Linked DNA regions of Ovis aries. The protein of the gene in region 1 interacts with the protein of each later gene in a pairwise test. Links are inferred from orthologs where the notes say so. Each region holds a gene or a part of one and is shown on either strand. Other genes may lie near its edges. The genes, in order: TCAP, TTC19 and TRIM55.

Region 1 (3,086 bases):
GGCTGGGAGGAGCCTGGAGGCGAGGCCTGGGCTTCTGGGTCACTGAGGCACCTCTGGGCTCTGCTCACCTCCTCTCTCTGCCCGTCACACTTGGGACCACCAGGAAATGGCCCTCCTTCCCTCCCTGCAGGCTTCCTGAGGTGCTAACTTGCATAGACTCAGGGGTGGGGGTGTTGCCTCTTGGGCCCGGCTAGGCATGTGACCCCGGGCAGGTCTGCCTGCCTGAGCCTCCATTTCCCACTTTGCTAAAGCTGTGTAAGATGAAGGCACCAAGGATCGGGTATAGTGCTCAGTAATCAAGAGGGTGCCCACGGGCCTGCCTGCTAGGGTCTCATCACAGCCTCTGCCCCTGGCCTTCCTGGTGCCCTTTGCTTTGTCCACTCAGTGACACCCCCGCTGCTCCTCCCCCACGCCCTCCTCCCTGTGTGCCAGCCTCCTGTCGCACACACTGCTGCTCTGGGGGGCGGGGCTGTCCCTGCAAGCCCTTCAACTGGCCTGCTCCCTGGGGACCAGAGCCAGGCCCCGCCTGGTGGCACCTTGGAGCTGGCAGCCCCCAGAGCTCTTCTGGTAAGGCCACTGTGAACAGAAAGTGAGGAAAACGAGGCCCAGAGGGGGTGGATGCCGCCCCCTACTCCACAGCCTCATTATGGCTGATTTGGGGGCTGGAGCCAGAACTGGCTGCCACCCACTGGAACCGCTGGAGTCCCATCTCACCCCAGCTGAGGAGTGGGGTAGAGTCGGGGGCCGCTTCCCTCCTCGTTCGTGTCCAGGATCCCAGGGGTGGAATTAACTTCCGATGCCCTTGCCAGTGAGGTGGTGGCAGTTGGGAGCCAGGCCTTTGGGGGCAGACGCCTGAGGAATGGCACTGTCCCTTTTGGTGGGGGGGCACGGTCCAGGGGGTGATGTGCCCTTGAGCCCAGGCAGAGGAGAGCAGCGGGGACAGGACCTGACGGCCTGGTACAGCGCCCAGAGGGGCCCTTGGTTCCTACTGTTTCCCGCTCTGTTTACAGACATGTCCTCCCTGGGCGAGGGGAAGGGGTGGGGCAGACGGCAAGTGCCAAGGTGGCACGAGGCTGGGCATGTGCCTGGTCATGGGTAGTGTCTTGAGGAGTGTCAGACACCTGGAGGTGTCACTCTGGGGACCCCCGCCCCCACGGGAGCATCTTGATCTCCTCAGAAGCTGACCTCTGACCTGGGGGCAGCCAGAATCCGGGTACCCCCCCCCCAGCCCCGCCCTGGGCTCAGAGTCCCCCATCAGTGAGTCTTGGCTCTGCTTATAGCATCTGACGCCAGAGGGGCTGAAAATAGCCCCTGAAAGAGGGGGAGGAGGGGGATATTTAAAGGGCCTGGGAGGAGGAGAGCCCAGAGGGAGTGAGCAGCCATCATGGCCACTTCAGAGCTGAGCTGCCAGCTGTCGGAGGAGAACTGTGAGCGCCGAGAGGCCTTCTGGGCGGAGTGGAAGGATCTGACGCTGTCCACAAGGCCTGAGGAGGGGTGAGTGCTGGCCAGTCAGGAGTGCCCCGTCCTCTCCCTCAGAGCACCCTTCCTGAGACTCAGGAGACCAGAGCACAAGGCCTGAGGGGTTCTGGGGGTGGGGCCCAGGAGGGTGCCTGCTGGGGAAAGTGGAGTCGCCCCTCCAGCAGCCCCAGGGAGCTCTGTCGCCCCGCCGGTGAGTGGCGGGCAGCAGCTCTCAGGGGCTGAGTGTCCCTCCGCTTCTCCTTCCCAGTTGCTCCCTGCATGAGGAGGATGCCCAGCGCCATGAGACCTACCACCGGCAGGGGCAGTGCCAGGCGCTGGTGCAGCGTTCCCCCTGGCTGGTGATGCGGATGGGCATCCTCGGCCGTGGGCTGCAGGAATACCAGCTGCCCTACCAGCGGGTGCTGCCTCTGCCCATCTTCACTCCCGCCAAGGTGGGCGCCACCAAGGAGGAGCGCGAGGAGACACCCATCCAGCTGCAGGAGCTGCTGGCACTGGAAACAGCCCTGGGAGGCCAGTGTGTGGACCGCCAGGACGTGGCCGAGATCACCAAGCAGCTGCCTCCCGTGGTGCCTGTCAGCAAGCCCGGCACCCTTCGTCGCTCCCTGTCTCGCTCCATGTCTCAGGAAGCACAGAGAGGCTGAGAGGGACTGTGACTTGGGCTCCACTGTGCCTGCCCTGGGCTGGGCCCTTCCTGGCTAGGACCATGGAGGGGAGCTGCTGGTCACGGATGCTTCGTAGTTTGCCCAGAGTTGGGGGCTAGGGGAGGAGGGAGCCAGAGGCCAGGATGCCTGGATCTCCTGAGTTCCCGGAGGGAGGGGAGCGGACGATGGGCACAAAAGGTGAAGAGCTGGGGGCCAGCACAGCCAAGTACCCCCAGCCCTAGGAGGAAGGGCTGAAGAAGCTGATGAGGGCAAGAGGTTCCTGAGAGGAGTAACCCCAGTCCAGATTTCAGCTTCAGAAAAGGATGAAGAAAAACTGTAAGAGGATCTGGAGTGCTCTGGGAAGGAGACTGGAGGGAGGGGGACGTGAAGAGGGCAGAGGCAGGGTGGAGCCCCCAGCACCCTCTGTTAGTGCTGCAATAAATGCTCAATCACGTGCCAGAGTTTCGTCTCTTTCCTTGTGGTTGAGGGGCCCACCCATTGGTGTCCCCCCCAGTGCTCACTTCTGGGAACAGGCCCTGCATCTCAGCTAAATATGGCAGAATTAGTGGGTCACCCCATGCTTGAGGGGAGGGGCTGTAGGGACAGAGCTGTAAACAGGGTGGCTATCTGCCTAGTCCCCCTGACTGCCGTGAGCCCTGGCCTCTGCCTCTAGTCCTCTGGCACTGTGCAGTGCCCAGGAGGCCAGTTGGCATCCAGAGTTTATTGAAATGATCTCATGGAGAATAAGGAGGGGGCTGGCACCAGGACTGTCAGCTGTGCCAGGGTGTGGATGGGGTCAGTGACCCCAGGTCTCTTGGTTCTGAATCCAGACAGAATCAATCCTTGGCTGGGGTCAGGTGTTCCACCCTCCGTGGCCTGGGAGCCCAAGGTGGGTTGTTGGGGGTAGGGTGAGTGTGTAGAGGGTCAGGTTCCTGTCTGTGACCTCTGCAGCTGTTGCAGTAACTC
Region 2 (4,420 bases), about 6.5 Mb from region 1:
GGGGAGATCTCAGGAGAGCACCCTGGAAGCTCTAGAAGAAAATGAAATGGACAAAACACCTCAGCATCTTGAGTAGAGGATTCAGAACACTGCTAAGAGTTTGAAGTTGAATTATGGATGTGTGTGTGTTTGTGTTAGCCACTTAGTCATGTTTGACTCTTTTCGACCCTATGGACTGTAGCCCGCCAGGCTCCTGTCCATGGAATTCTCCAGGCAGGACTACTGGAGTGGGTTGCCATTTCTTTCTCTAGGGGATCTTCCTGACCCAGGGATCAAACCTGGGTCTCCTACATTGCTGGCAGATTCCTTACCATCTGAGCTAAAAGGAAGTTATTGAATTAGGGATAAACATATAGAAAAGTAAACAACCAAACAAATGCAATCATGACAGTTTTGAGAGGAAGCAAAAAGTTACAGTAAAGAAGTAGTCATCACTTACTACATGGCTCAGCTGTGACTATATTTTACATCATATAAGTGTAAACTCAGAATACTGATCTAAAGAAAATTATCGTCGAAGGAGGGGGCTCAGGAAGAGTGTATGACTGTCTAAGAACAAAGATTTTTAACTAGAAGAAAATGGCTCTGAAAAACGTGAATCGGTGATAGTAGTCTCTATGAGCCCCAAGCCTCAGGGGCGCCCCCTTCAAGACTCTCACACTGTGCTCTTCACACACAACCCTTTCTGGCAACCACTGTTTGAGCTGTCAACAGACTGGTTTCTCCCCCAAGCTTTTTGGGATTAGAGGATGTTCGAATACCTGGCTCGCCTCATCTTTTAAGCACATGTACTGCTTTAGATTTAACTGAAATGAGAAAAGTTGGCTTCCTCCTCTCAATTCTTTAAAAAACAAGTCAAGGTAAATCCTTTTCAAAGTGCGGTCCTTTGCAAACAAACGCCGCCCAAGTGAACCAGCAAGGTTCACTGAAGCCTAACCGATGTTTTGGATGGTCATTCAGATGGCGGCGGTGGCGCCAGCTCTAACGGGGACGCGCTCTGGCCCCGTGCGCTTGCGGCCAGGGGAGTCTGGTCACAGAGCGTCCTCTGCTGGTCAGAGGAATAAAGGCACAGCCACAGCGTCCAGACCCCTCAAGTCCTGCATCTGGGGCCCTGAAACAGTCACTCGTGCACAGAGGTCAGGAGGGGAACCTTTTGGAACAAACACAGACCGCGGGAAGGAAGGGCTACAGGCGAGTTAAGAGGGCGGAGACCTCCCCAGTGGGCCCGGACCCCCGAACCCCGTCCCGCCGGCGCTGCTTCCCGCGCCCCCGCCCATACTCGGCGCGCCGTCCCGCACAGCCGCCGCCATCTCGCTCAGCAGCTCCTCCACCACAGCTGGTAACGTGAGAGGCCCAGTCGGAGCCGCCATGGCGGTCCCGCGTTCTCCGGGGCAGGGGAGGAAGGCGAGGTGACGTAGACTTGCGTCCCGGCGCATGCGGGCGGTCCGGCCAATCGGCGGGCGTTCGGCGCCAGGGGCGGGACTTCCGGAGCCCGTGGCCGCAGTGCGCAGAGGACGCTCTGGGGGCCATGTACCGGCGTCTGGCTGTGGGCCTGGCCCGAGGTCTGTTGCGGGTGGCGGAACGGCGGGGCCGCTGCTACCCGGTGTGCCTGCTGCCCGGGCCGCCGGGAGTTCGGGCGCCGCCGTGCCGAGGGGCGCCGCGCGGCCGAGGCTCGGGCCTACTGCCGCTGCTGGCAGGTGAGGGGTGCAGGCCGGCGGGCCGGGCGGGCCGGGCTGGTTGGGCTGAGCACGGTGACCTCAGTGCCCCTTCCTGCAGCGCTCGCCTGGTCCTCGAGGCCCGCGGCGGCGGAGCAGGAGCGACGGGGCGCGGGCGGGGCTGCAGCCGGGGACGCCGAAGCCGAGATCATCCAGCTGCTGAAGCGAGCCAAGGTGAGGGGCTGCAGCACGTCCCTCGACTACGGGGACCCGGGTGGACGGAGTCGTGGGGTCCGTGCGTTGGGCGCAGGTGGAGGCGGCGCTGCCGGTTGCGAGGTTGCGAGCGCGGGGAGAAGTGCGCACAGGCTGAGGGGAGCGAGGCGGGCCTCTTCTTCCTGAACGTTTTCCCCTCTTCCCGGGGTGCCGGGTCTCCTCCTTTGCGCTGACCGCCGCCTCATGCCCACCGCGTCCACCCGAGTGCCCGCACACGGCAGGTGCGGCCCGCATGCCAACTCTATTTGAGGCTTCAGCTGACCCAAACGAACCTGTGGTCTTAGGCACCCCTCCGACCCCTTCCCTCAGTACCTCTTCTTTTCTGTAGTCTGCCCCATTCTGAGAACTTGTGTGGTACCTACCTACCACCTCCCATATACCAAGAATCCAGCAACGAATTTTTGTATTTTGCCACCAAATCCAAAATCTCGAACCTGTCGCCTCTTCGGTGTCTCCTCCTGTCGCCCTGGCCACGCTGCCACAGCCTGCAGTCTTGTCTGCCCTGTTGCCCCCTGCCATCCAGGCTTGACAGCAACTGGATCATTTAAATGTAAATCAGCTGGTGTCATTCCGTGCCCACAAGCCTTGATTGACCCGTCACAGCGTTTGTGGTAGAACCCAGACTCCTTGCCCTGGCTGGTGAGACCTATGGTCCCACCCCATTGCCTCCCTACTTGGCAGTAACAGTCACCATCAGTTGACATCTGTTGACTTTCATTGTTTGAGTGGTTCTTGAAAGTCCGTTATCTTCAGTCTGTAGCACCTTCGCTCCTTCCCTGCTGTCTGTTTGGGTCAGTTTCCCCCATAGTTCCTTCCTTAGTTGGCTGTTTTTCTTTTTACCTCAATTTAACTGTCGCTTCCTTGGGCGGCTTCTCTTGACTCCATTTGAAGGAAACCCCTTGTTCCTTTCTCTTGCCTTTCTTCGCCTGTATCATTGGTTGTGATTGAGCCCCACCTGTCCTGCAGGAAGAGTGGAGGAGGATGTAGGGCCAGCAGCTCCGCTATAAGAGCTCGTGAAAAGTGCTCACAATCCTGCTGCCTATGTCAGCCAGTGTGCTATATCTGTGGCCATGCGGAGCTGCAGGGGAGCCCCTCTCCAGTCCCCACTGCAGACACCATGCCTTTGCAGAGCAGGGATTCAATAAGTGTTTGAGGAATGAATGACTAGCTTCCCTCTGTGTACTGGGACACGTAGCCCATACTCGCTTCTGTCTGGCGGTGCATGTCTCTGTTCTTTTCGTGTTTCAGTTTCTTTTATTTTGTTTTCTCTTTTCAGTTATGCATCATGAAAGATGAGCCAGAAGAGGCAGAGCTGATTTTGCATGATGCTCTTCATCTTGCCCACAAGAGTCACAACACGAAGGCCATTGCTTACACTTATGACTTGGTAACTCCTCTGACCAGTCTGAGCCGCCGCCAGTGGTGCAGGAGAAGGGCTGTTAGTGTTCCTGATTAGTATTCCTGACCTGCAGGATGTCTCTCTGGGTTTTGTTTTTACTAAGTTTTCTTTAGCTTTCCATTTTTATTACCCTTGAACTGTCACCTGTAAGAAACCTCAACCCCAGACCGAAAAGAAACAGTTAACATTAATATTTGTGTTCTCAGTGAAGAGTGGATCTAGAATTGTTATCATCAAAGTCTATGCACGTACTCTCACCCCATTGCTGAACTTTGCTTCTAGCAGATTAGCAACAGTTTCTGGACTGTTTTTTTAGATAGAAGGTGAAAGCAAAGGGGAGTTTTCAGTGTAAAGATTTTGAAGTAAGTGGAAACAATGCTTTAAACTGAAAAACAACTTATAATCTGCTTTCAGATGGCGAACTTAGCATTTATAAGGGGTCAGCTTGAAAATGTAAGTAAATCATGTTGTAATGTTGTGAATTTGTGAATGGCTAGCTTCAAGGGACCTCTGCACATAAGGGTACAGGCAAAGCTTCTGTAACAAAGAGACCCCAAGATAAAGTGACTGAAATAAGAAGGAAGCGTATCCCTTTAATGCATTAGTCCAGAGGCGGCTGAATCCTGAAGAGGGGTGGGCACTTCTACCCCATGAAGTGACCCAGGAGCCCACATTCCTTCTAAGATGTATTCTCGCCTGAGTACGAGCACTGGCTCACCTCCAGCTGTGGGCAGGGAGAGGATGGAGGGCCAGCAGCGTCCTTGTGAAGTACGCTGTTGAAGCTGTTTGTGTAAACTGCGTGCATCTCTTGGCCGCAGCCTCCTCATATGATTACACCTGAAATGCAAAGGAAGGACCCTTGACCTAGTGGAAACTGAGGAGACTGTACCAGAAAAGGGTAGTTTGCAGTCTCTGCCACAGTGGGTTTGGGTGGGAAGTTGATCTCTGAAGCTGGTTGTACACATCACAGAGTAGTAGTGTGGTTTTCAAGTAGTAGTAGTAGTTTTCAAGGTGCCCAGAGGATGTGGGGTCCCGGCATTTTAGTCTTTTTCTAACGCAAGGTTACCTTTCTGTATATGTGTTTTTCAAGGAA
Region 3 (3,645 bases), on another chromosome or scaffold:
CGAAGTGCCCACCTGCTCTCTGTGCAAGGTCTTTGGGGCGCACAAGGACTGCCAGGTGGCTCCCCTCACTCACGTGTTCCAGAGGCAGAAGGTAACACGCCCTCCTGCCCCTCCTCCAAAGCCCCTTCCAAGTGTGATTGAAGGAGAGATGCCCACAGGCAGGACCATAGGGCCCTGAGGCTGCAGGGGAGAGGAGGGCGTTGGCAGAGCTGGAAGGACTGCTGCATGCCCAGGAGAGTGGTGGGGAAGGTGGGAGAGGGAAGGGTGCAGAGGGTCAGGAAGGGGTGTGGAGGGGAAAGGTCGCTATTTTTCCACCATTACAGGTTTAAGATGAATACTATTATGGGGCCCAGTCCAAGCTCAAGCTGCTCAAACACTGAGGTTCAGCCCATAGGAAATAAAAGCATAACCTCTTGCTCCAGTCTCAGAATATTTTTCTATGTTTATCAACCAAAGATTCCTTTGGCCCTCCTCAAGGCCTCTTCTCTCCCACTCCTATCTCGTGGAGTTACGATGACTGGCATTTTGTTAAATGTTTCCTTAGGCTAGTCCTCATGCCTGGGTTAAACTGTCCCCCTAGGTCAGCCCAGAAGGCCTCCTTTGGGTCTGACACATGTACCCCCCACTCCAGGGCCTCAGCATCACCCCCTCATTATGAGCAAATATGGGGTCTCCCAGCTTATCGCTAACCTGCCAGCCTATAGCGCACAGGCAGGTAGGAACTTACCCATTTGATGCAAATGAACGAGGGGTTGTGGGCTCAGAGAGCTGTGGCCGAGTCTCAGCATCTAGGATTTGAGCAGCTCCACATCTCAGCTTCTTCCTCTAAGAATCACAGATTCCACAGTTAGTGTTTTACTGACCAAATATAGAACGGGAATCAAATTTGGAAGTCAAACCTTTGGGCAACTCCAGTTACAACCAGTGAGTACTAACTGCTAAAGCAGCAGGATTTAGCAAAATAGCTATACAGTTATTTTTTGTTCTATCCACTTATGACTTCCCTGCCTTTTCCTTTTACCTGCCCCTCCCCAAAGTCACAGCCTATTAGAACTGAATGGTACCTGGGTCACACCATTCCCCTCAGAGCCCTGAGACCACGAAGGATGGACAGAGGCAGGCTGACAGGACTTCCATCCTGCTCCTGTTTGGCCAGAGCAGCATTATTTGATCCACTGGGATTATATATTAGCTCCCATTTGGAAAAAGGGTTCTGCAGCTTTAAATGTTTTACAAACACTGTTCTGGTCCAGTCTTCTCACTTTATGTATGAGACAAGTAGGGTCCAAACTGATTACAGAGTTGCCCAACATCACAGAGAAGCTAAAAGGCAGAGTTGGACCAAGCATGTAGGTTTCCCGAGTCCCATTCATTCCCTAAGTCTGAACAGTGGAATCGCTTCAGATCAAAAGAGCCTGAGGGGAATTTTAAGCTAAAAAAAAATGTTTTCCCCTAGAAACAGTGCAATGTTAGTTTCAAATCTATAATGACTGAGTCTAGTATACGAGTATTTGTTTGCATTTAGTACAGAGAAGGGTGCATCACAGGTATTTGGTGAATAAATGAAATATTTCCCTAGTAAAACTAATCCTGAAGGCTTCCTGGTGGTCCAGTGGTTAAGAATCCACCTGCCAGTGCAGGAGACATGGGTTCGATCCCTATTAGGGAAGATCCCACATGTTGTGGAGCTACTAAGCCCATGTGCCACAACTACTCACGCTCTGCAACAAGAGAAGCCACTGCAATGAGAAGCCTGTGCCCCACAACAAAGAGTAGCCTGCACTCGTGGCAACTAGAGGAAGCCTGCATGCAGCAACAAAGACCCAACATAGCCAAAAATAAATATGTAAATCTTAAAAAAAAAAAAAACTGATCCTGAGCTGCACTATAATTCAAATAATTAAAGGTCCGAATAATTCATGTTGGACCCCTTGATGTCACATATTGGTCTCCATTCAATTTATAAACAGTTCTTAGAATTATTTAGCTTGAATGTGCTATTCGCTGTCTATGGCCTATAATTCAGTGTTCTTAATGTTTTTTGGAAGGGTCACCATCTTCATTAAGAATTTGATGAAAACTGTGAAACTTCTTCCCAGACAAATGCATTTATACACCGATCCTTCCAGGATTTTATTTATAAGATTAGGAGATTCTCAGACCTCCCAGCCTCACTGTTCCTCATTAGGGGGTTCTGTGGACCCTAAATTGAGAACTCATGAGAACAGTAGTACTAAGATGAACCCATAATCAGTGGAGGACTAGAAAGCCCCTAAAATCTTGAATCCCTCTTTTCTCTCCATTAGTCCGAGCTCAGTGATGGCATTGCTGTCCTAGTGGGAAGCAACGATCGGGTCCAGGGGGTGATCAGCCAGCTGGAGAGCACCTGTAAGACGATTGAGGTGAGTCAAGTGGCTTCAAGGGAAGGTAAGCCACGCATAAGCTCTTGGGGTTTTGTGGTTCCCTTGACATAACCGTAGAAATCCCTGCTCCAACATTTCAGTCTTTCCTTATAGAATGACCTCCCTTCTGCATGCGTGCATGCTAAGTTGCTTCAGTCATGTTCAACTCTTTGTGACCCTATGACCATAGCTCACTAGGCTCCTTTGTCCATGGGATTTTCTAGGCAGTGGTTGCCTTGCTCTCTTCCATGGGATCTTCCTGACCCATGGATTGAACCCACATCTCTTATGTCTCCTGCATTGCAGGTGGGTTCTTTATCACTAGAGCCACCTGGGCAGCCCAACCTCCTTCCTGATGTGTCTCTAAAATATTCACCTCCTGGCACAGGAAGAGAACAAGGCAGATTTTACCACATTGATCAAGGTGGTGGTTACATTCGGTGGTGTTTCTTGGGAAACCCCATTTTAAAGGGTTAGCTACAAGAAATATCAATTTGGGGACTTCCCTGGTAGTCCAGTGGTTAAGACTCTGAACTTCTAATGCAGGGGTTCTGAGTTCAATCCCTGTCCAAGCACTAAGATCTCACATGCCACATGGCATGGCCAAATTTAAAATAAAAAATCATTTTCCAAGTAATGACAATGAGTGTTGTTAAAGCAAAAAATTTTTGTGGGAATCCAAATGGTCTTAAGAAATGCTATTTGGCACTTAAGAAAAGTCGTGTGCAGATTTGAGCTGCATGGTGTTGTTGTTCAGTCTCTAAGTCGTATCCGATGTTTGCAACCCCATTGACTCTAGCCCACTGGGCTTCTCTGTCCAAGGGATTTCGCAGGCAAGAGTGCTAGAGTGGGTTGCCATTTCCTTCTCCAGGGAATCTTCCTGACCCAGGTACTGAACCTGTGTCTCCTGCATTGGCAGACAGATTCTTTACTGCTGAGCCACCAGTGAAGCCCAGTGTTCCATTTACCTGTATTCTTACAAAATGTGTATTGCTATCTGCATGTCTTTTAATTTTATAAATGGTATTGTGTTGTACTTCTCATTCTGCTTAATTTTTTTAAAATTAAACATTATGCTTTAAGATCCATTCACATGTACATTCATTCCTTCAGTTTTCTCCTGGGAAAATGGAACTAAGTATCCATTTTATAGAGTTTAACCATGAAAAGTTAAGTAAGTATAAGCATAATGCTTAGCACAGTGCCTGGCATATGGAGAGTGCCTGATAAATGCCCTAATCTG

Evidence for each region.
Region 2: the proteins of TCAP (region 1) and TTC19 interact in binary tests that used the Homo sapiens proteins (3 or more experiments, as listed by UniProt). The link is inferred for Ovis aries from reciprocal best matches to the Homo sapiens genes TCAP and TTC19.
Region 3: the proteins of TCAP (region 1) and TRIM55 interact in a two-hybrid assay, tested with the Homo sapiens proteins (2 studies listed by BioGRID and IntAct). The link is inferred for Ovis aries from reciprocal best matches to the Homo sapiens genes TCAP and TRIM55.

Annotation. Positions count from the first base shown.
Region 1 is NC_056064.1:39,784,921-39,788,006, forward strand, and holds TCAP (telethonin), read left to right. Parts: upstream 1-1,364; 5' UTR 1,365-1,384; coding exon 1,385-1,494; intron 1,495-1,726; coding exon 1,727-2,120; 3' UTR 2,121-2,581; downstream 2,582-3,086. UniProt on the Homo sapiens protein: Muscle assembly regulating factor. Mediates the antiparallel assembly of titin (TTN) molecules at the sarcomeric Z-disk.
Region 2 is NC_056064.1:33,235,485-33,239,904, reverse strand, and holds the start of TTC19 (tetratricopeptide repeat protein 19, mitochondrial), read left to right. Parts: upstream 1-1,478; 5' UTR 1,479-1,528; coding exon 1,529-1,697; intron 1,698-1,776; coding exon 1,777-1,889; intron 1,890-3,204; coding exon 3,205-3,315; intron 3,316-3,741; coding exon 3,742-3,780; intron 3,781-4,420. Other genes in the region: ZSWIM7 (zinc finger SWIM domain-containing protein 7), read right to left, coding at 1,280-1,370. UniProt on the Homo sapiens protein: Required for the preservation of the structural and functional integrity of mitochondrial respiratory complex III by allowing the physiological turnover of the Rieske protein UQCRFS1.
Region 3 is NC_056062.1:43,457,839-43,461,483, forward strand, and holds part of TRIM55 (tripartite motif-containing protein 55), read left to right. Parts: coding exon 1-91; intron 92-2,306; coding exon 2,307-2,402; intron 2,403-3,645. UniProt on the Homo sapiens protein: E3 ubiquitin ligase that plays an important role in regulating cardiac development and contractility, muscle growth, metabolism, and fiber-type differentiation.